Linked DNA regions of Drosophila melanogaster. The gene in region 1 interacts genetically with each later gene. Each region holds a gene or a part of one and is shown in the gene's direction. Other genes may lie near its edges. The genes, in order: kn, Rbfox1, lola and nau.

Evidence for each region.
Region 2: of kn (region 1) and Rbfox1, changing one suppresses a phenotype caused by changing the other (phenotypic suppression), as found in Drosophila melanogaster (one study listed by BioGRID).
Region 3: of kn (region 1) and lola, changing one suppresses a phenotype caused by changing the other (phenotypic suppression), as found in Drosophila melanogaster (one study listed by BioGRID).
Region 4: of kn (region 1) and nau, changing one enhances a phenotype caused by changing the other (phenotypic enhancement), as found in Drosophila melanogaster (one study listed by BioGRID).

Annotation. Positions count from the first base shown.
Region 1 is NT_033778.4:14,804,039-14,809,039, reverse strand, and holds the start of kn (knot), read left to right. Parts: upstream 1-1,978; coding exon 1,979-2,190; intron 2,191-5,001. Other genes in the region: hui (hase und igel), read right to left, coding at 397-457. UniProt on the Drosophila melanogaster protein: May act as a 'second-level regulator' of head patterning. Required for establishment of the PS(-1)/PS0 parasegmental border and formation of the intercalary segment.
Region 2 is NT_037436.4:10,479,622-10,484,529, forward strand, and holds the start of Rbfox1 (RNA-binding Fox protein 1), read left to right. Parts: upstream 1-1,790; 5' UTR 1,791-2,324; intron 2,325-4,908.
Region 3 is NT_033778.4:10,540,165-10,544,926, reverse strand, and holds the start of lola (longitudinals lacking), read left to right. Parts: upstream 1-1,635; 5' UTR 1,636-2,022; intron 2,023-2,931; exon of another isoform or gene 2,932-3,086; intron 3,087-3,153; exon of another isoform or gene 3,154-3,582; intron 3,583-4,762. UniProt on the Drosophila melanogaster protein: Putative transcription factor required for axon growth and guidance in the central and peripheral nervous systems. Repels CNS axons away from the midline by promoting the expression of the midline repellent sli and its receptor robo.
Region 4 is NT_033777.3:23,712,316-23,720,130, reverse strand, and holds nau (nautilus), read left to right. Parts: upstream 1-1,773; 5' UTR 1,774-2,174; coding exon 2,175-2,702; intron 2,703-3,507; coding exon 3,508-3,630; intron 3,631-3,693; coding exon 3,694-3,768; intron 3,769-6,817; exon of another isoform or gene 6,818-6,856; coding exon 6,857-6,935; exon of another isoform or gene 6,936-6,991; coding exon 6,992-7,185; 3' UTR 7,186-7,317; downstream 7,318-7,815. Other genes in the region: CG10232 (uncharacterized protein), read left to right, coding at 1-191, 256-655; CG10300 (uncharacterized protein), read right to left, coding at 7,335-7,595, 7,665-7,815. UniProt on the Drosophila melanogaster protein: May play an important role in the early development of muscle.

The DNA of each region.
Region 1 (5,001 bases):
AGTATGCTTATAAATCTCAAACATTCAACAATGGCAATTTCTTTTTTGAGTGTGAAAGTTTGTCCACTCAGCGATCGCGTGAATAATCAAACGTAATGCTGATTTTGAATAGCCATATTTTAGGAATCGTAATAAAAAGCGAATTTGTTGTGCGGAAAGTTTTGCTGGACAAACATTGTCGCAAAGTTAATGAGCTACGCGAATTTCACAAACCAGTTTGGGTTTCCGGATGGGTTCGATAGGTTTTTGGGTATTATTAACATACTAGCACCCGTCGACCGACTTGTTAATTCAATTAATAATAAACACGATAGCAGCTCCGACTAGCGATGATGTAAGTGCACAATCCGGCTTAAGCTCTCCTCAAATTATACTCAAATTTGCTTTTTTGCTCACCGGAAGAGGCCGAAGCGGTAGTAATCGCAAACAAAGCGATGGCAATCACAGCGTACTTCATTGTGAAGCGGTATGGATCTGTAAGAACACACACTTCGTCACTTAGTAGGGTTAATTCAGCGGTTAGGGGTATGCAGAGGGGCCTATCTGCGGTTAAGCACTCACAAAGACGAAACGAAAGACTGAGGCAGCGAACGCGTGAAAAGTTCCAAAACGACTAAGCTCGCGGTGCGGCTCCCTAGCGCTTATATATGGAAATTTCGAATGCTGACGCAGTGCGAACCATCTACATCATTATCATCTAAAGCTGGAAGAACAAGCAGAAGCCGTCAAACAGGCAGAAGAGTTGGGCAAATAACTCCACCGGTAGGTAGACTGAACAATAAACAAATACAGAAAAAAAAACAAGAGGCAGGCATTTAAAGTTTCTTAAAACCTCTGGCTGTGGCTCATAAACGTAAAGTTAGGCTCAATGATTCATAAGGTTAAATACTATCACATCTCTCAGTTAATTTCCCCTCTCTGCAGCAGAGTTTATCTCACATATAAATCCACCCAAAAAGTTAATGATTATGGGAAATAAACACATGACGAAGCAGCGAAGCGCCAACGGGGAATTTCTGTTCTGTTTGTTTTCACTTTATTTGTATTTCGCATTATATATTCGAACGCCAAACTGTTTTGGCCAGCTCGTGTAAATTGGCCAAGTGCCCTCGCTTTTTCTTATTGTACTTTTTTTGTACCCAGTCTGCGCCTTGAGCTCTGCTTTTGACCCGATTCGTGTTTTTGGCAATAAAGAACTTCTCGAACTTCTTCTCTTGGGCTTGGGGCAATAACCTGATTACAACGTGGCCAACACCTAACAAACGGAGTTTCAGAGAAATATTATGCATTATACATACATTGCCGATCATAAAGCTAAACTATATATACTCATTTGTTTAATGGCTGGCATGCGTCCACTAATTATAATATTTTGTGAATTTTAATAATATTATGCCTCGCTCGGTTTTACCGCTCCATCTGTTTGAAACAAAACTGGTTTTGATGGGATTTTCGATTGATCTTGCTCGACGAAATGAAAACAAATTTTGTTATTTAATTTTACATTATCATATATGTATATTCCAGGAAATCCTTTCAATTAACCGGTTATTTGGGGATTATTGTTTTTAATTGCCTAAAATAAATCTAAGGCTTTGATCAATCAAGAAATAATTGAAGACAAGTTGTGCAACACAAATTATATTGCATATACACATTTTGCACGTTTTGCTGATAGAAGTAGGGTATTTCTAACAAGTACAATTAAATAGACATATGTACTTTTTTCAGTAAAATATTACCAATTTTTCACGCACTACTTAAGCCAATCTACCACCTTAATTCCGTTTTTTTTCTTTTGAACACATGAAAAAATTCAATTCCTTAGATTTATATTAATCTAATTGAAATCCACAAATTTGTTGCCATTTGTTGTGCAGAAGTATTTTTGAATTTCGCACACGTTCGTTGGCAAAAATATGTACAAATATTGAATACGAAAAAGTCAAGGAAAAATTCCATTCTTTTTCTCGCAAAAATGGTGACAGAGCAAAATGCTGACCGCCGCCTACTAGGAAAAATAATCCCCAGCCGATTTGAACGATTTATTATTTGGCCCAGCCAACTCGGAGCCTGTCCCGGAATACCCGGAACCATTAATCATCCGAGTCCAGATCCAAGTCCGAGTCCGAGTGGTGGACAGGCGGCATTGCAATTGGTGGACATTTTGGAGTGGAAGAAACTTTTGCGGTACGTGGCAACGTGTTGAAATTACAAAATGTGTTAAAAAATGAAAGAGCAGGGCGGGTAAAAAGCAAAATAATATATTTCATTCACACACAGACTTTTGTCTCTGCTCCGCCGTCCATATAAAAAACATAAATTTCCTTTGAGAATAGAACTTCTGGGATGGAGAGGGGGGGGGGGGGGTGCAAGGTGATTATGTTTGACAGCCGACTTGGGACACGAAGCACCGCCCCCTTTTTCATCGCCAAACAGGACATGGGTATTAGATCCTGGCCAAAGTGCCAAAACTGGCCTCACTTTCCGTCTGATTTACGGCCAACTATTTTGTTTAAATTTTTACCACTTCCCTGCTATCGACACTCAACTTAAAACATATAAAACCAACTATTTAAAGAGCAAATAAAGTTCAATTTGATTTTCTTTGGCCTTCGTTAATAATTTTCCTGCATCTCTCTGGGGATCAGCGAAAAATATGAATTATTGAAACAGCTGAAGGAAATAATATAACCAAATCGGAAGGCCAAATCTGTTTAATGTTTCAGATATGTTGGTGTGGGTTGACCAAATGACAATATGCTTTTTAGCTTCAACCTCCCTCAAGCGAAATTGATTTTCATGGTTTTTCTGTTTTTTCGCCTAAAAATACACAAAAGAGTCGAAAAAATTTGACTGTGATTGTCACTTGAATGTGTGGGTTGGGAAAACCACTCCAAATCCACTTCACCAAATATGTCAGTATGGAATCACGAACCTCGCTTGATTTCTCCAGTGATTTTTCGCAATCAGCCTGATGAGGATGTGCCGAGAACGTTGCTCATGGAGGCAGTGCTATGATTAGTATCCTTTCAGCCAGGTCAAAAGTGACGCTGCCGCATGCCAAGTGGCCTCGGCCAAATGAAACTTTAATGCGAAACAAGGACAAAAGGCTGAAAGAAGGCTGCCTGATGAACTACGTGATGGTCAGACAAATTGAAGTTACACTGGAAAATAATTAGCTAATTTCCTAGTTTGCTTAGGTTAAGGGATTAAGTAAGAATGTGTTTAAAGGACTCTTTTATAGGTAACTTGTTACTCTAAAGAAAACTTATCCACAGAATAGATGTGCTATTTTATCGCAGTGTATGTGGATAGTCAACGACAAAGTGAAATGCATTGAGGTTGGTGGCGAACAAACGCGACCTGAATCGCGAATTGGAATAGCCAGCCTACTCCGCCCCCTCAGGATATATAGCTACTTCGACTAGCATATGCGCCAGATAGTATAGCTGGCGTATCAATTTCGATAATGTACTTGGACCGCGAGTATCTTTATTATCCTGACTGCTGTGCAATTATTTCCGACTGCTTTACTGTCGTACCGCTTTTCCGAGTCCTGGGAAACGCAAACAAAGGATATTTCGCGCACACGCCTCGGACATGATTGCATCCGGGCAGGAAGCATTGCGTCGTGTCCTTTTTGCATCCTTACATCGTCGCTTCCTTCCTGCCGATCAGAACCCCTGGCTGCTTTTCATCCGCAATTTTCACGCCCACTTTGTTTGATGATGACAAATCTCGTTGCGTGTTATCAGATTGGCCAACTTTCCGTTGCTATTCCCCCTCGTATTGCATAATTATGTTTATCTTTGGAAGCTGCGCTCCTGCCACGTGTCCTTGCGTTTTGGTTAGCTTCCTGCGATTTTGCTCGGAACGAGTGGCACGTGCTAATCGGCGGTCGTCTGCACCGCCCATGCAACCAGCCACCCCCCCTGGTAAGTGCAACCCCGCCTAACATGTCCGATAATTGAAATCGCTAAGCTGAACAACGGAATCGAAATGGCTTCATTAATCAGGTCACTTCGATGGCAGCGCATAATGTTCTTCAAAAATTTGAATTGGGGGCGGTTGAAAAGAGGAAATTGGTCTATATAGCACTTAGCGCGATTGAATTTGCTCATTTTGTGTTACCTAATTGGGGAAAAGATGTTTCGGTTATTAATCATGAGTGATACTTACTATTGTATTACAAAAATGGTGCATATATCAGAAGATATATATTATTAATAGATCTTAAGGAGCATTTGTATCCATTCACCAAAATATGGTAAAAATAAAGCTTAAATTAAATTTGCTCATTTACCTTTAAGGACATCCTTTGCTTAATGAGTGCACTCATGCCCACACCCACTCGCAACCGAATGAGTGTCGCCCTGCGGACGCATAAATTATAAATAAAAGCCTCACACACGTGGAGAAAGAGAGGTGTATATAACCTTAGAGAGAGAGAGAGAGGGAGAGCTACAGTCTGAGGCCAAGAAGTGTGCTAAATATTTAAGTACTTAAAACCATAAACCTGAGTATTTATAAATTGGCTTTAACAAGCTCGTATGTGACGGTGGTTGGGTGTGTGTCTGTGGGCTGACCCTTTTTTCGGGCACAAGGATCTGCTCGACTCGATTCCATTCATTAGAAATGCTCACTAATGTGCCCGACTTAATAATAATCAAATTTATATGCATGGTTATGTCCTTTAGAGCAGGACCACAAAACTGAAGTTTCGAGTGGATTGCGAATGGGATTGGCTGTTAAGTTTACGGAGAAACCTTTGAGAATGAGACGAAGATAATATGTCAATATCCTTGTTTTCCAAAATGTCTGACCAAAAGTGCAGATGTCCAGTATCGAAACACGCCCAAGACCGGTACCGTTATTCTGCTACCAGTTTTCTTGTTTGTTTTTGTTTGTTAGCCAGCTTGTTTGTGGCCGACACTGAGACCAAAAAGGCCAAAAAGGTCGCCCCCTCGGGATTTCCTTAGTCCTGCTGCCAGCTTCTTC
Region 2 (4,908 bases), on another chromosome or scaffold:
CCCCCCCCCCTTGGCTTTTCGCCCAGCAGTTTGGCCTCGTTTTTAAATTGAAATCTCTGCAGCCAACACTGGACATTGCCTTCATTTCCCCGCGGACAGAGAAAGGGAGAGTTGTCCCTGCATTTCTCCCGTCCTTGCGGTGCTTTAAATAATTGCTTAGAAGCCGACGAGCAGACTCAGTGGTAACAATAATAACCGCCCAAGCACTCCGACTATGATAATAATAGCAAATAGAACCTGCCGCAGATGGAAATGCCACTCGGACAGACGCCGCTCCCCTTTCTCTTACTTTTCCACATAAGCCTTTGGCTTATGACCACACCCCCCCACTGCAAATGCATTTCACTTACTCTACACACACACACACACTCGTATAGTAGAGAAAGTAAGGGCCAGTGAGAGTTTGTGTGTTTATGCTCACTTTTAATGTGCCATATAAAATAATTTAATGACCGGCCAGAGACGAGGGTGTCTCCTGGTAATGAGAAAAGCGATTGGACAAAAACGGGTGGCTGTAAATGATAATAGTGGCATATTATGATGCAGATAGTCATGACAAATGGCTACGTCGAACTTTAATTGGTAAGCGGACTTGGACTGGATCGCCATATAGAAAAGCAATTATATCTGTAATTATAAACTTATCTATTTGCCATTAAGAATGGATTACAATGTTTGAATGCCATTTGTAAAGCCATAATATCTACAAAGTATAAGTAAACAAATTTACAAAAATGACTACAAAAAAAAAGTCTTAAAAAGTACTCAATACAATTTTCATGTAAATCAACCCTTTTCCATTTTCTCTTTCTCTCCTGCTGAATTTTAAATTGTTATTTTTAAATATTTTCGTTGGGCTTTTTCTTCGAGCTTAATCTGCGGAAAATTTTCCATCGGTTGCCTTAAGTCAACCCTAATTAGGTTATTCTTGGCAATCCCTTGCTCAATCCCCTTTTAAAGCGGCCTTAAAAAACGGAATTAATTTTCCGAAATTTATATTTTTCTTTTGATTTCTTTAGATTTTTGGTTTTGCTTTCGTTCTTCGTTCCCGATTTTCGTCCTTCCACTTTACTGTCCTGGTCATTTTCTACAAAATAGTTGCGCTTTATTTCCAGGCAACTTCGTCGCTCAAGTGACAGCTGTCCTCACCTCCACTTCCGCTAGAATGTCAATAAAAATTCAATTACGTTTTCCGCCAAAGAAAAGTTGCTGCTGAAAATACGTTTTCCTTATAGCCTTCTGTTTCCATTTAAAATTGCCTCTCTTTGTCGAACGGAATTTGTTTGCCAGCCTGATCGATTTGTGATGCTGGGCCGTGGAAATGTGGAAATCAGAGACTTGGGCACTTATACTTAATGGCCTAATTATGTAACCAAACGCCCACACACAAATAGGCTGAGTAAATAATCATAATAATCAGCATTTTGGCGGGGGAAAGAAGAAACCATAAACTTCTCGGGGTTCAAATAAAAATAAATTGTGCGACTAGGCTTGGGCAATTTGGCGGAAATGGTTTTCTGCCTTGAACACATATGTTTATAAGATTTATTCTGTTTTTCTGCTTATTTTTTGTGGTTAAATAGTTGGCCAAGTTTATGCTGATGATGCCGTAGGTCGTTGTGCATTAAACCAAATTTAATGTTACCTTTTATCAGGTGGCATTAAAGAGCTCTTTCACCAAAAATATACATTTTTCTCATCCCTCAAGTAAGCATCAAACTGTTATACTGACTGTAGTGTTATACGGCAAAGGCTGCTGCATACTTACAGGCTCTTTTGCGCAAAATTTCAGTCTCCCATTGCAAGTGCTCACGTGAGGACGGAAAACATTTTGCTCATCGCTTTCGCCTCGCGCATTGGCAAGTCGCGTAAAATTCTCGTGTTAACAGGAAAAACGTCACAAATTTTTCAAAACCACCCCAAGTCCCATTACCCGCAGTGGGAAAAACCTCAAATTCCTTGGGCTATCCGTATCAATCAACGACTAAAGGCTTAGTGTCCCTTTGTGATTGTGTGTGCTTTTTGTGTGTGCACTGTGTATTTCGTTGTGCTGCCGGCTTCAATTAGCAGCTTTTCCTCATTCTGCCCGCTGCTCTTGTGTGCGTTAGATTAATGAGGCAAAAGTGTTTTGTCGTGTCGTGCGTTAAATATTTAATACAATATCAAATAAATGTTGCATAAGCCGCCTGTCATTTAGCATCTAGTGCCAAAAGCAAAAAAAAAAAGAAAACACAAAAACGTGTGTTTGTTTCGTGTGTTTACCACAAGTAATTCGGACAGCAAACGGATTCTTTTTTCACGATTCACAAGAGCACGTCGATCAAGTAAGCCTTAGCTATTAAATATCACAGAAATAAAAATGTATCCCATTTAGCACATTAAGTTACCCATTTGAACAGCTTTTATTGGACTAGTCTTCCGCTGAGATATCTTGAGAATTTGCCCATTTCCCAAACGCATTTAAAACATTTTTATTGCCCATTTTTGCTTTATGTCCCGCATTAAAACATCTCCCGCTACGTAAAGATAATTTTGATTTGATATTCGTGTAATTTTTCCATTTGTTATTTGCCCGACTTCCATTGTTGATGGTCTGGCAGGGAATTTCGATTTGCGTTTACCCTTCATTTATTTTCAGCTGGAGATGCAAATAATGGTAGAAATGCCCGCAAAAATACTTTTACAGCAACAGGACTCCGGGGCCGATTTTCATTTCAAATTGCTCACATTAAGGGGCCACCCCCCCCCCCACCGGGCATCACAATCTCCCCCCTTTTATGGCACTCACATACCCTGTATCTGTGCATATATCCCCTTATTACCCAGCGCAGAGTACGAAATTAATTGTAACCAAACGTTTTGCTGCTTGCCGCAAACTTACTTTTATACTAGTTCATTTGCCACGCCCCTATCCCCCACGGAATGGACGCACAAAGACAACTAAAAGGGTATACACGCACAGCAACACTGAGAGAAATGGGTTCTGCATCGATAGTTATAGTTTTTAAGCCAAAATGTATGCTTATATTTTCTATTGCTTAATTTAAGACTTCTTTTTAGTGACTTTGAGCCTTTACTTTAAATAACTTTAAACTTTACTTTAAATAACAAAATCGAAGTTGTGACAACAGTTTTTCCTGCGTGAGCTTATACAAACACGTGCATGTACATGTGGAGCAAGAGGTAGCTAGCATCCCAACTAAGTAAATAATGCGTAAAACAAGTCAAGCGTTTTACAAACTCACCCATTTCGCCATCCCGTTTCCCCGTTAAACAAAGGGGGTTTCCACTGCAAAACGGGGAGTTTCCCCCATTTAGAAACAGCAGAAACAGTCAATTGTAAAATTGCTGCAGCCAACAAAGCGTGGCAAGGAAGCTAAGCGAGTGGCTCAGACTGTTTCCATAGGTAGTTGTTGCCCGATGTTGATGACGGCTAGGATTGCCGGATTCCCGGCACAAGAATCTCCACCGTATGTAATTCATTATTATGCTGACTGAGGCTGGAAGGCACTGACGGTAGAAGCCAGAAGCAGGAAAAAATATTTGCGCACATGTGGCTAGAGTTTCCATCACTTCAGCGTGCTGCTGTTATTCTTGTTAAGGCTAAAATTGTCTGTCACTTTGAGACTTCCGTCATCTGCAGGATAAAAGCTGTGGGCGAAAATATGCGAGCGAAAAATGAGACTCCACATTTTGGTTGTATGCTAAATACTTCACGGTCCACGGTCCTGTTTATGCAACAAGGATGTCTTTGAAAATATCAACGTTGGTTCGCAAAAAAGGATACCTATTGTATATATCGGGCTTAGAAAAATAGGGGATTTTAATACTAAAAAGTTTTAAAAAACTTAAAACTTTCGTGACATGTGAAGATGGCTCTCATTTATCAACGCTACAAAAGTAGCTCAAAATGGCCCTTTTGAAAATATAAGGACATGAAAACGATCAAATATACCACCTGTGTCGCAGTCAAAATGTAACAACAATTGAGAACAATAAACAAATGGCACACAAAATCAAAGTTTGGTTCGCTTATCTTTGTTTGACTTCTCTTCACTTTGACCCACCAAAAAGTTTTTATTTTTTTATAATGTCCTCGAAAAATGAGCGCCATAAATCATGGGGCGTAAATATGCCACCCCCATTTATCTCGTCTAACAAAGGGAAAACTTGCACCGTAAATTTGTATAAGCAGCAATTACTTAAAAAACTCCGAACCTTGACTTGTTTAGCCAACCAATGAAAAACTCTATTGTCAACTACAATATTTTTCCACAGCTCCATTTGCAGTTATTTACATGAGCAGATCCACATTTTTGGGTGGCAGATGGGTGCTGTGCCTGATATTTTTTTTTATGCTTACTTGCGACATCGCATTTTTGCACAAGACTTCTAAACTATATTTCGGACAATATGCAACATGATATTTTTCATGCTTATTCAACAGAAAAAAAATGAGAAGAGATTGCACATACGTTCCTCACAGAATTTCAATAAAATAGAGTAGGAATTTATGTGCACGATATGTTTCCGAGATTCTATGAGCATGTAATTTGTGGGTATTTCTGTCACAGTTTATATGTACAAAAATGTGCATTGCAGTATGCAGAGATCTAATGCTTTCCTTTTTTTTATTACTCAACTCATTTTGAAACTAGCCTTTTTAAATGAAATTGCCAAGCAGTATATACTTATATTATTGAATATTGATTTATTTAATTATTATTTGAAATGAAAAGTATTTTATTCCTTCCATTTTGTAACCCCTTTTCATATCCTTGCAAATAATTTGTCTTATTATGCTCCCCACTTTCGGGCATCATCCATCTTAATCGCTTTGACTTCTTTGGGTGGTTTTTCCTCTCATTTTTCTTCTTTTCCCTTTTCTAATAAGCCTAATGGCAACGC
Region 3 (4,762 bases), 4.3 Mb from region 1:
ACAAAAACATTAAAAAATAAACAAAAAGCGTTGAACAAAATTTCCAACTTTTATTGTTAATTTCTTTGAGCGCAGCTTTTTTAAGCTGCTGCGCGGGCGTCGACGCCGACAGCGCTACACTGCAAGAAAATATTAGTAATAGATCGGTCAAAACACTTTTCCAAATCTTACGTTTGCTCTCAAGGCATTGTAATGTGCCAATTGAGTTAGAAATCAGTTAGAAATTATATGCATATTAGCAAAAATGTAGTTTCATAAATGAATTTAAATTCTACATTCCAGTAAAAATATGCTTACTGACTTTAGTTAATCATAACACATATGTATTTCTCACCGTGTAACAGCATTATTGTTGTTCTTGTTTTTCGTGTAATTATGATCTTGTGCTGACTTTTTTATATGTACATGCATGTGTACATATATTTGCTCAAATCAAGTAATCAGTTATATTTAAGCATCAAAATCAAGTTTTGGCAATTGCTAATGCAAGGCGGTGGTAAAAAACGACCAAAGATTTATACGAATGTGTGCCGTGAACATTGACGATTTTATTAGAAAGTAGCAATTGGCAAAACAAACAGATATGCAAAATGGCAAAATGCAAAAAAAAAGAGTGGATCCATAAATTGAAAGTTTAATCTTTTCTTGACACCTTTCTACTTCCCCAGTCGGGAATTTTAATTGCCTCGCAAAAAATAATGACAGGTGTCTGGTGAATTATCTTCTTCAGCGCTAATAGCATTTATTTTATTTGTAGTAAAATTACCTAAATTAGCTTTTTATGTACATTTACAAATTTTAAGTTCTGCATCTGCATGGTGAGATCATTTCAGTTGCCGTGTAAGCTTCTTAAAAAAAACTGTGTATATATGAATGTATATATTCTTTCATATATGTATATGTATATAAATTTATAATCACATAAATATTTATGTACTTATGTAAATATTACATAAATGTATGTACATAAGTATGTTCCTCACTGCTTTGTAATCTCTAAAAATTGTAGAACCTACATTGTAAATTATGTATGACCTTGACATTTCATAATTTTTTAGAAACATTTCCACTTGGTTTATAAGAATTCGTTAAAAATTATGTTATGTATGTACATACACACATTTCTATGTACATATGTACATAGTACATCATGTGGCTTAAATCTCGTATTATGCCATGCTCTCATTATGCTTATTATAACTCTTATACATACAAAAAGTATTATAAAAGTGTTTCCCACAAATTCCACGTTTTATTTGACGATCTAAATACATAGCTTTTTACATAGAACTCCATGTGCCATATTTCCTTATGTGCTAAGCAAAAAAAAAACACATTTTCTTTGCCTTTTCATTTAGCGCGACTTCCTTTTGCCACAACCCCTTCTTCTTCTTTCTTTTCTTCCCCTCAATTCCCGCGCAAAACGCTTTTTTCCAACGAGACAGTTGCAAAAAGCAATCAACTGTATCGTGGAGTGTCCCCATCTCGCTCGCACTCACTTGTTCTAGCGCACGAACGATCTTCGGTTTTTCGAATGCAGCAGAAAGAACAACAAAAGCAAAAACTTCGTGCTCACACACACACGCAAAGCCTATTTCTTTTTTCGACTTTTATTCGAACTTTTTTGCAGCGATTTTTCAGTAACAAACGGCAACTCTCAGGAATAAAATCGTCGTCGCTCCGCTCGTTAAATTCTCGTTGCTTTTCCACCCACATAAAAAATCAGGATAAATTGTTAGTAGTCTAAAAAACAGTGCGGATTGCATAAATTCAAGCGGAGCACCGATTGGAAAAACACCCACGGAAAAAACTATGTGATGTTAAATACGTTTTTGTGTCGAGTGCATAATTTGTTGTAATTAAAGTTCAACTGCAAATGCAAAAAGACGAAATATATAATAATTTATAGGTGTTTGTGAGTGTTTGCGCCCCCTCTCCTGTGCAACGTGTGGGAAAGAGAGAGAGGGAGTGAGAAAGAGGGAACGTGACCGAGTTGCCATGAAAACTCCAATGGAAATTCAGGTGAGCGATTGTCAATCGACGTGATGTTATGCGGGGACCATCATCTCTATACGTTCACCTTTCATATGCACACTGTAGCCGTCGAAAAGATCTGTAGAATTTATGATTTTGCCACAGAAACGACACTCCTCGCATCAATTAGTATTGGTTAGAACATTTGGCATGCGTGTAGAATTTCGCACAGAAATGTTAATTTTCCAGCTGAAAACCCGATGAAACCGTTAAAAATTAAGGTACATATTTAGGTACACATAATTTGTACACCGAAATTAGAGAGAAAACGCGCGGCGATGAAGTCATGCTGGAAGCCAAAAATAAATCAACGCCGATCATAAAAACGTTTGGAGAGTGCACAAAATATAATTTGCGCTTTTTAGTGGGAAATGCATTGCACACACAAGCCGAGACCATCTTTCATCTCCCTCGCACACCCTTAAACAACTGCAACGAGAGATGGAGAGAGGTGTCGGAGTGGGGGAGAGAGAGAGCTTGCTCGGCAACGGTAATTTTACCATTTCGAACATTATGGCTTCGCTTTGCTGCGAAAAAAACAAGCAAAGCTAAAGCAACAACAAAATCTCGCCCCATGGTGGAAAACAAAAACAATACCAATGCGAATGATATTTTCGAACTCCGCCAAATATGTGCAAGCAGAGTTGTCAGCCTCGTTCGTTGTCACTTACAGTATATGAGGTTCTATTGAACAACTTTATTAATTAGTACGTACGACTCACATCTCACTGTCTATGCCAAATACTATTTACCACGTAGAGACCCTAAACAATTTTTGTGATATTCATATTCAATACTTTCTCCAATTATATTTAACATTGTCTTGAGATTAGCAAAAACGTTATCGTGTTTTTATAGACAGGCTTTTCAAGTAGTGTAGTTAGTAAATTTGACGTCCGTTGGAAACGTATTTCCTTCTTCCTTGATGTGGAACTTAAATTAGGTGGCAACCAGATAATGAAAAGCGTGTCCTCCTTCTGCATCATCCTAATTTGTCGATCTTTTGTCGTGAATTGGCAACTCTGTGCGCCAAGCATACAAAAAGCACACGTCTGAAGAGGGGTGGCAAACAGGCGACGTCAACTTATTTTTCGAACTCACACTCTCATTCGCACTCACACTCTTCGGGTTTCGCTTCGGCTTCGTTTCCAACTCTCTCGGCGCTCTTCGGGGTCTCTGCTTATGGGAACCTTTCGTTTTTTCGAGCACCAGCGGAAAGTCGCGTCAGTCGTCAGTTTTTCTTCAGTGGCTTCGCGCGTCCGCAATTTTCAGTGTGTGGTGCGTTGTTGCTGCTGCCTACTCTTTTCTTTCTGCTCTCCACGGCAGCGGGAAAGGAAAATACATACACATGCATACAGGGCCCCATCACATACAGTAAAAATAAATTCAACTTTATTGCTTTTCCCCCCGTCGCGTTATCGTGTGTGTGTGTATTAGTATTATATATATTTTACTATATATATACATATATGGATTGGAAAAGCAACACCAAAATTTGATATGTGCAAAGTTTATTGACGACTACGTGCTGCCTGTGATTCTATTTCGGTGTGTATATAAAATTGATCAATAATGTTTTAAAGTACCGCTTAATAATATACAATAAGAACTTGCATTTGAACTGTACCTGGCAATTATCTGCCTGAGATTGTGTGTGTTTTTGCATATCGAATCGATACTTCCAGTGGTGTTTCTATCGATTTTTCCCTATGCTCACTTCACGGGAGAAAGCTTTTCACCAATGTACGAAAAGAGACAGGCACAGACAGAGCAGGAGAGGGAGAGCTTTCCCACAAAATGCAACGCTGAAGTAAATGACGGGCGGTTTTCATTAATTTTCACACACGCACACACTGCCAGTGGCTCACTTTCCATGCAAATGAGGTCAAGTGTTGCAGTGGGAAATGTTTTCTACAAGTACACGTGTATGTGTGCGCGAGTAGGAAAGTTATATAAGCTTTTCATTACCGATTGCGACGAGGGAAAGCTTGATAAAAAAAACTATGATTAGTAAACACGAAGATTGCCAAGAGCGAGTTCAATTAATTGCTTTCTATTATAAACTCCTACAAAAAAGCACGTTTTTCATTTCGATAGATTCCCAAAGTCTTGGTGGCCGCCATCTTGGTTTTTCCCCCACACATAAAATATTTTGTTCAATGCTAGGCTCTCTCGCTCTTTTGGCTCCCCTTTTCTTTCTCTCCCGCTCATTTTGTCATACTCCCTCGTCAGTTTTTATGTTTGTTCACGAAAAACAAAAACAACAAGCGTGAAATTTTCTCTCTGCACTTTTCACACACACTTAGAAAAGTGGGAGAACCAGACGGCTCAGCATGAGGCAAGGAGGATGATGAGGAAGGGAGAGAGAGAACAGTCGCCACATATTTTTGTTTCCACTTTGTGCTACACTTCTGCTACGCCGCTTTTGTTGTTTTCTTTTCGACACGTTTACACATTTCCATTTTTCATATTTTCGTGTCGCCTAATCTTTTTTATGGGACTGCGCGACGTTGCTAAATTTCACTTGTGACTTTTGCAAAAGTTTCATTTGTTTACATTCTACGCACATGTGCAGAATAATAACAATAATAAATGAGATATAAAAAAGCTTTTGCGCAACAAGTGTAGAAAAGCAAAAACTGTATTTTTCTCTTTGGTTTCTTGCCTTAATTCTTTGTTTACAATTTAAACTTGTACACTTCTTTCAAGTCATCAACTTTTTTTCCTT
Region 4 (7,815 bases), on another chromosome or scaffold:
GATTTGGTGCTCAGGAGAGTGCGGCTGGGCGAGCATGATATTACCACCAATCCGGATTGCGACTTTACAGGAAACTGCGCTGCCCCCTTTGTAGAGATCGGCATCGAGTATTTCAATGTCCACGAACAATATTTCAACACCTCAAGGTTTGAAAGCGATATCGCCTTGGTGCGTCTTCAAACGCCAGTTCGGTGAGTATTGCAATATAAGGCATCATTTTCTGACTATTATGAACCAAAGTTTTTATTTCCTTAGATATACCCACGAAATTCTACCGATTTGTGTGCCGAAAGATCCCATCCCCTTGCATAATCACCCATTGCAAATCGCCGGTTGGGGCTACACGAAAAACAGAGAATATAGTCAGGTGTTGTTGCATAACACCGTTTATGAAAACAGATATTATTGCCAAGACAAGATATCGTTCTTCCGCAACGAATCACAAATCTGTGCTTCTGGCATTCGAGGAGAAGACTCCTGTGAGGGTGATTCCGGAGGTCCCTTGATGTTAACCCTTAATAATGATTACCAGGATATCGTATATCTGGCCGGTATCGTTTCATATGGAAGTGAGAATTGCGGAGATAGAAAACCAGGTGTTTACACAAAGACTGGAGCATTTTTCTCATGGATAAAGGCAAATTTGAAGCCATAACTTTCTTGCTAAGGAATCTCGACTAGTGTATGGTGTTTGTTAATATGTGAATGCATTTTGTTTGTATGAGTGAATGTGTTTTTTTTGTGGATTATGGAATTATGGAAAATTCAATCAAGTAGCCAGTAAAATCAAATATGCACATAAGAATGAGTTTTAATATGTATTTTATTTATTTGATTAAATTAATAACACAATAAATCGAATTTACTTAATGATTTTGATTTTTTAAACGTTCTTTTCTGAGTTACATTTGTGCGTTGACAGTACACTGCCCGAAAACAAAGGCCGATAATGATTAAATTTACAATTGGGATTATCGTGTGGCACAACAAATAGTCTTTGCCACCAAAATACCATCAGACCGAATCAAAACAAAGCATCCATCAAAGTACGGCAAGATGGAAAATGTGAGGAGAAAATACGAAATGGAAAAAGACGAGAAGGGAAAAGTGGAAAAATGAAGATGGAAAGTGCTCGAGCAAACCACGGTCCTAAGACAAAAGATTTACAATATCGCTGGGGAAGATTTAAAGGTGATTTCCAAAGATATATATTGTGCCTGAGCAGCGATAAATAAACACAATTCTTTGACTATTTTTATTTCGGCCTCTCCTATTTTATTTATTTTTTTGCTCAATTTCTCGCTTTTTTCTCGGCCGTTGCAACTATAACTCAATAGAAAAGTGGCTGCCATTGATGGGATCTGTGGACGGGGGGCCGGATTTTCCACTAAATGTGTCACATTAACGAATTGTTGAGCTCCCCGAAAGCTAATTTATGCCACCACCTCCCCCACCAACCCACACTAATCGCTGGCCAGGTAAAATTCAATTTATTTGATTTGAACTAAGCCTTTCACAAACACGCTTCACATTGAGCGGAAAATCGCGTTGAAAACTCACGAAAATTAAAAAAAAAAGGGGAGGGGCGTGGCCTGCGGCAGCGTCCTTCTGCCTTAGAGAACCGCCAATGTCGTCTAATGGCGGGGCGCCTCTAAAAATAGGAACCACTCGAGAGCCACTCAGCCACTCAAAACGCAGCAGCATCCGCACTCCGAGAGGATCGCGAGCACATCTGGGGGCCCACGATATCTTGGATTCTTGGATATTGTCACCAAATGTGTTGCGATTGCGACGGAAGGCGGTACACACACTCGCGTACGGTCCGCAAATCGAAGTCGAAAAATATTTTTGAAAATGTCGGAGGTTTTTACAAAGCATCATTAAAGTGTAACCAACTAATTAAGGTTCTATTTTAAAAATCCCGAAAGTGAAACTATAACAAATTAAATTAAATAGAAACCACAGCCTAAAACTTGTGTGTAACCATAACTCATAAATTTGTGTTAATGACCTAGCATACCTAGAAAAAGAGCTTAAACCACGTTAAAAATGGTAATAATCAACTGACTAAATTAACTGTGCCATCGTAATTAGTATCAGCAATTAAATTCAGCAACTTGTTGAACTACCAAAATTGTTTTGTAAAATATAACAAAATCGTAGTGAAGTGAAAAATGACCAAGTATAATAGTGGCAGCAGTGAAATGCCTGCGGCTCAAACCATCAAGCAGGAGTACCACAATGGCTATGGTCAGCCGACACATCCTGGATACGGATTTAGCGCCTATAGCCAACAGAATCCGATAGCCCATCCCGGCCAGAATCCACACCAGACACTGCAGAATTTCTTTAGCCGCTTCAATGCCGTCGGTGATGCGAGTGCGGGAAATGGTGGAGCGGCTTCCATCTCAGCCAACGGATCGGGTTCGTCTTGCAACTACAGTCATGCGAATCATAATCCGGTTGAGCTGGACAAGCCATTGGGCATGAATATGACACCGTCGCCCATCTACACCACCGACTACGATGACGAGAACAGCAGTCTCAGCTCCGAGGAGCACGTCCTGGCGCCCCTCGTCTGCTCCTCCGCCCAATCCTCCAGACCATGCCTCACCTGGGCCTGCAAGGCGTGCAAAAAGAAGAGCGTCACCGTGGACCGTCGGAAAGCGGCCACTATGAGGGAACGCCGGAGACTGCGAAAGGTAGGCATCCCATGCTCACATTACACACATTTTCAGATTTATCAAATATTAAAAACATATTGTGCAATAACTACTGATACAAATACAGCACTTTCATCTTTCAATCATTCATTAAAAGAATGGTTCACTTTAAAAGTAGATTTTTGATTCATTCAATTCATTATTATAATAATAACTTAAAACTGCTTATGGGGACTTGAATATAGGCATACCACTCAGAACTCTGTTCAAGAGTCCTTTTCCATCAGCAGGCTTATTAATCCTCGGTCGATCTTAAAAATAGATTACGCCACAGTTCGCAAGTCCCCTGCGTTTAAGGACTGCAACTTTGTAGTAATTTCATTAGCTCGGCTAGCACCCCACAAATTAACACATCGCCACCAGGGAGGATCGGATCCATTGACATAACGCGCAGAAAGGGAAACCACCCAACATGCGTAAAACATAAACATTTGCCAAGACCAAGAGTTAAACAGCGGCATTTATGAGTTCGACGGTCGTAAAAGTTTTGGATGAACCACACGTATTTATAGCTCCACATAGAGACATTAGTGAAAGGCGGAAAATCGTGGGAGCTCCGGTTAGAAGGGGTATGGTGATGGGGGGCTGTCATAAAGAGACAGACGACGGGCGAACGGCTTAATTGTTGAAAATTTTATGCTCTATTTAATTTAAAATATGTTTTATTAAAGAGCCACTTAAAAGGGGAACACGCCGCGTGTTCTGTGTTTTTATGGCACGCCTAATGGATTTCCATGATTTCAACGATGGCCATTAATTGATTATTATTCCGTTCACATTCTAGGTTAACGAGGCCTTCGAGATCCTCAAGCGACGCACTTCATCCAATCCCAACCAGCGCCTGCCGAAGGTTGAGATATTGCGCAATGCCATCGAGTATATCGAGAGCCTGGAGGATCTGCTACAGGTAAATGAGTGAACTCATCTCACCGCGAATAGAGAATACCATTGGTTAAATTGATTATCTTAGGAATCCAGTACCACACGCGATGGCGACAACCTGGCGCCCAGTTTGAGCGGCAAAAGCTGCCAGTCCGATTATCTGGTAAGTTTTGTCCACTAACCGCCAATTAATATTAAGCCCACAATATCGGCGCGTATATCGTTCCGCAATTATTTTCTCGTAAAATTCTCATGCATGAGCAGCGCTTTCGTACATTTTTCTTTGGCGACGCGCACATTCATCAAAATCTCAGGGTCTGGTCCGTCGCAATGGCGAACATGAAAATAGAATATGTATACGGACGGATCCCCGAAAGAGTCAGTCCCCAAACTGTATCTGATATCTGTTGTATCTGCTGACCGGAATTTATGCGCTCGCTGACGTGCTACTTAATAAGCTACGCCGGCAGCCCATCATCCACATTTCTGAATCACATTCACTCGAAAACCGGGAATATTATGAGTTATGATCGAGAAAGTTTGCCCAGATGTGAGGGGAGCAAACTTTTATCAAAGGAACGGGGGAAAAAAAATTTAGAGGAAAAATAGCTGGAGAATTTAGGAGAATTTACAGGGGAAAGGGTCGTTGTCTGCATTTAGTGAAAGGCAATAAATAAATTTTCTTTTTATAAGCCCGAATGGAAATCGTGTTGTAAATTAATTACAACAAATTCGTTGGAGCAGGAATCGGCACCAGAATCTTCATCCCCATGTTTGGTGGATTGCGACGATCGCTTTTCTGTTTCATAATAGCTTCCCTGCGACGTGGAACCAAAACCGTTGTGGCAGTTGACAAATTGCACAGGAAAAACATGACAAGATCTCGGGGTGTTCTTCTTCGAAAGGTGTTGCAAGATATGGCCAAGTCGTTGGTCATTGAAGGGAAATGAAAATGAATGAAAAATGGGGGGGGGGGGACGGGAGCGGGTTGTACATGCATATCTACTCCCGAATGACAGGGCAACAAATTGTCAACAATTATGCAAACATTTTTGCCATCATCTTCAACGCCCTCTTTTCTTTTCATTTTCATTTGACTTTCGGGTTGGCCTGCGCTGAGTAATTTCCATGCAGTTTGTTTAAGTTTCTCACAATTTTAATGTACAAATTTGTTAATTTACCATAAAACTTAGCGTATTTGTATGTTGACTGCGCCCCCCATTGGCAGATATTAATGTGCGGCCATAGTTTGATTAAAAACTGGCATAGCGCCAAACGTGCAGACATTCAAATGCATCTCAGACCCTGGCAATCCATCCATCTCATCCATATCCATTCATTTGGAGCCCGTGTATTTATAAACCTCGGCGACTTAAGTAAAAGATTTCCTTTTGAACTGTTTCCAACACGAAATGCGAACGCTAAGTTGGCCCATAAATTTCCTTATCGCCGCCAATAAAGTGTAGTACTTGCGATATACAAAAGTGCCACCTTGTCTATATCAGTCAAATTTCTACGTAATGAAATACATAGCCGCAATCATTGAAGTCTTAAGATAGAGCTTTTCGGTGCAAATGACTCACGGAAAGATGTGGGTAACGTGGGTGCAAACCATCCATTTGGACAGTGAGTCAGGATTGATCGGATTCCCTACCATTCAGTTTTTAAACTATTATCAGGTACAGATATGCTACCGAAAACTTTTGTTATCTTTGAATAGCTTTACAGCTACACTATTAGATATTTTCTACGAATGGAAAGCAGTTTATAAATGATATTGCAAATTATTGAGAAGAGATAATTGGTGTGATTTTTATGGTCTAACCACCACTGATAATCTTTATCACACGTCCCCGTTTCAAAAAGTAACTTTTTCAGTTTCCGAGAAAGATTGATTAAATAATTCCGAAAATAAACATCAACATTATTTGCATCTTATTAAAAATGTAAATACATATCTGGCAAGTAGTTCTTGCATTTTTTCGGTGATATTTCCGAAATGGATTATGAGATCTTACGACTGACCGCACAACTCGCAGAGAAGTGGCAATATTTTTAAAGTGGGTTTAGTATATTAAAAGCATATTTCATGGTAAAAACTCATGCAACTTATGGCTAACAAATCGCATAATGCCGCATATCCGTTACACGCTCACAGATCGGAGGAGAACATCTAAGGGGAACGCGCCAAAAAGCGGCTTAAAATCTTTACGCAACCGAAGAATCGGAATGCCCAAGTGATAAGTGGCATTTCATTCAGATACAACGCATGATATATGCTCAAAAAAAAAAAAATAAAATAAAATACACCGAAATACCATAAAGACCTGCAAACAAGTACACAGAAAGAAGTCGGGCATGTCTAAAAATATATTTCGAACATGCTTGTTAAATTGAGAATTTATTTCCAAAGAAATTTTTCAATATTCGGTATTATATTGTCATATAAATAGACTTTATTGCTTTTAACCCAGTTGTGCTATTTTTGTGTAATTTTTCCCAGTGTATCCGCTTGCTGACTGCGGCATATCGAGCGCAGGCTGTCACTAAACGCTTGAAAAAAATGATAAATCGCTTTATAAAAGTGCAGTGTGAGTTCATCTGCTCTCGTTCAGTTTAGTTCACTTCACTCGGCTTTGAATGCTATTCTGTTGTTTTATCACTCCGTACTTTGTTGTCCGCTAAATATAAACAGACGTACATACATATAAGCCATACGGGATGCCCTGTATTTGTCGATCCTTGCAGACGAAGTGACGGCACTTTGGATGCACCAGATGCGGATTTGGGGGGGGGGGGGGGGCAGCAAGGAAACCCACCCAGAAGTGGCAATTATAATTTGCTTAGCATCGGCGTTATAGCGAATTTTTCTAATGAAATCCCGACCGAATCTCCGGATGCCTTGTCTGTCGTCTGCGTATGCGCAAAATTAATTTAATTGCCTCTAAAGTGCACTGCACACAATGCCCCACAATGTTGGGGCAGACAATGGGTGTGGTGCGGTGGTTCAATGCGTTTTAATTGGCCTGTGGAATCTCTTTACTGGCATAAATTTTGGCTTAATCTCATCATTAGACTGCATTCTGTATGGCACTCGTTGGCCAAGTTGACAGGACCGGAGCAAATTTGACGTTGTCATTTCGACGGCGACACTTTTCTGTAATTTATTGTTTCCCCAATTTCGCTTGAGGCCAACTAAAAAAAAAATATATGATTTTTCCATTTGTATTTATTTATGTTTTTCCTTGCAGAGCTCCTATGCTGGCGCTTATCTAGAAGATAAACTTAGTTTTTACAACAAACATATGGAGAAATATGGTCAGTTTACAGGTAAAAGTAAAAAAAAAAAAGTATTTGATGTATTTATCTAAAATATTTTTGTATAGACTTTGATGGCAATGCCAATGGCTCCAGTTTGGACTGTCTAAATCTGATTGTTCAGAGCATCAATAAGAGCACCACGAGTCCCATTCAAAATAAGGCCACGCCCTCCGCTTCAGATACCCAATCGCCGCCCTCATCCGGAGCAACTGCACCCACTTCTCTGCACGTGAACTTCAAACGGAAGTGCAGCACTTAGCACTTAAGTATCAGCACCTTAGGCAATTGTAAAGCTATTTTTAAGAGGATACACGAGATACCCAGTGACCCGAATAGGCCTTAAATTATTTGTATAGCATTAGAACTTAATTAAATGGTAATTCAAAACAGCAACTAGAGTCGTCTTACTTAATCTAGCTCCAATTTGCGGAAGGAACCGCTCATCCCGTCCAGTTCTCCATTGGCCCAGGCACTGGCCAATCCGACGCGCAGTTTCTCATTAGTACCATACTGGGCATCCTTGGCCAGATAATCCTTGCTGTCCAGCAGCTTCTGGCGCCAATGATCCACTGCCTCTGCCTGATAGCCATTGGTGCCACCATACTCGATGGTCATCACATCTCTGGGCAGGTGCTGGTACAGATCCTCCGACTTTTTGTGGACCACGAACTGTGTAGAATATTGTAGAGATTAATTACCAATCCTAACGCAATTCAAGCTTTTTGATGATAGATTCACCTTGAAAGGCAGTTTGGAGGGCAAAAACTTCGTTACAAAATTGAATATGGTTTGTCCCTCCTTGCGCATATTGATCATATGAATCTCAACAAATCGCAGTGGTATGCATTGGTCCACCAGAGCAAATGCCTTCTTCAGCAGGAAGGGATCG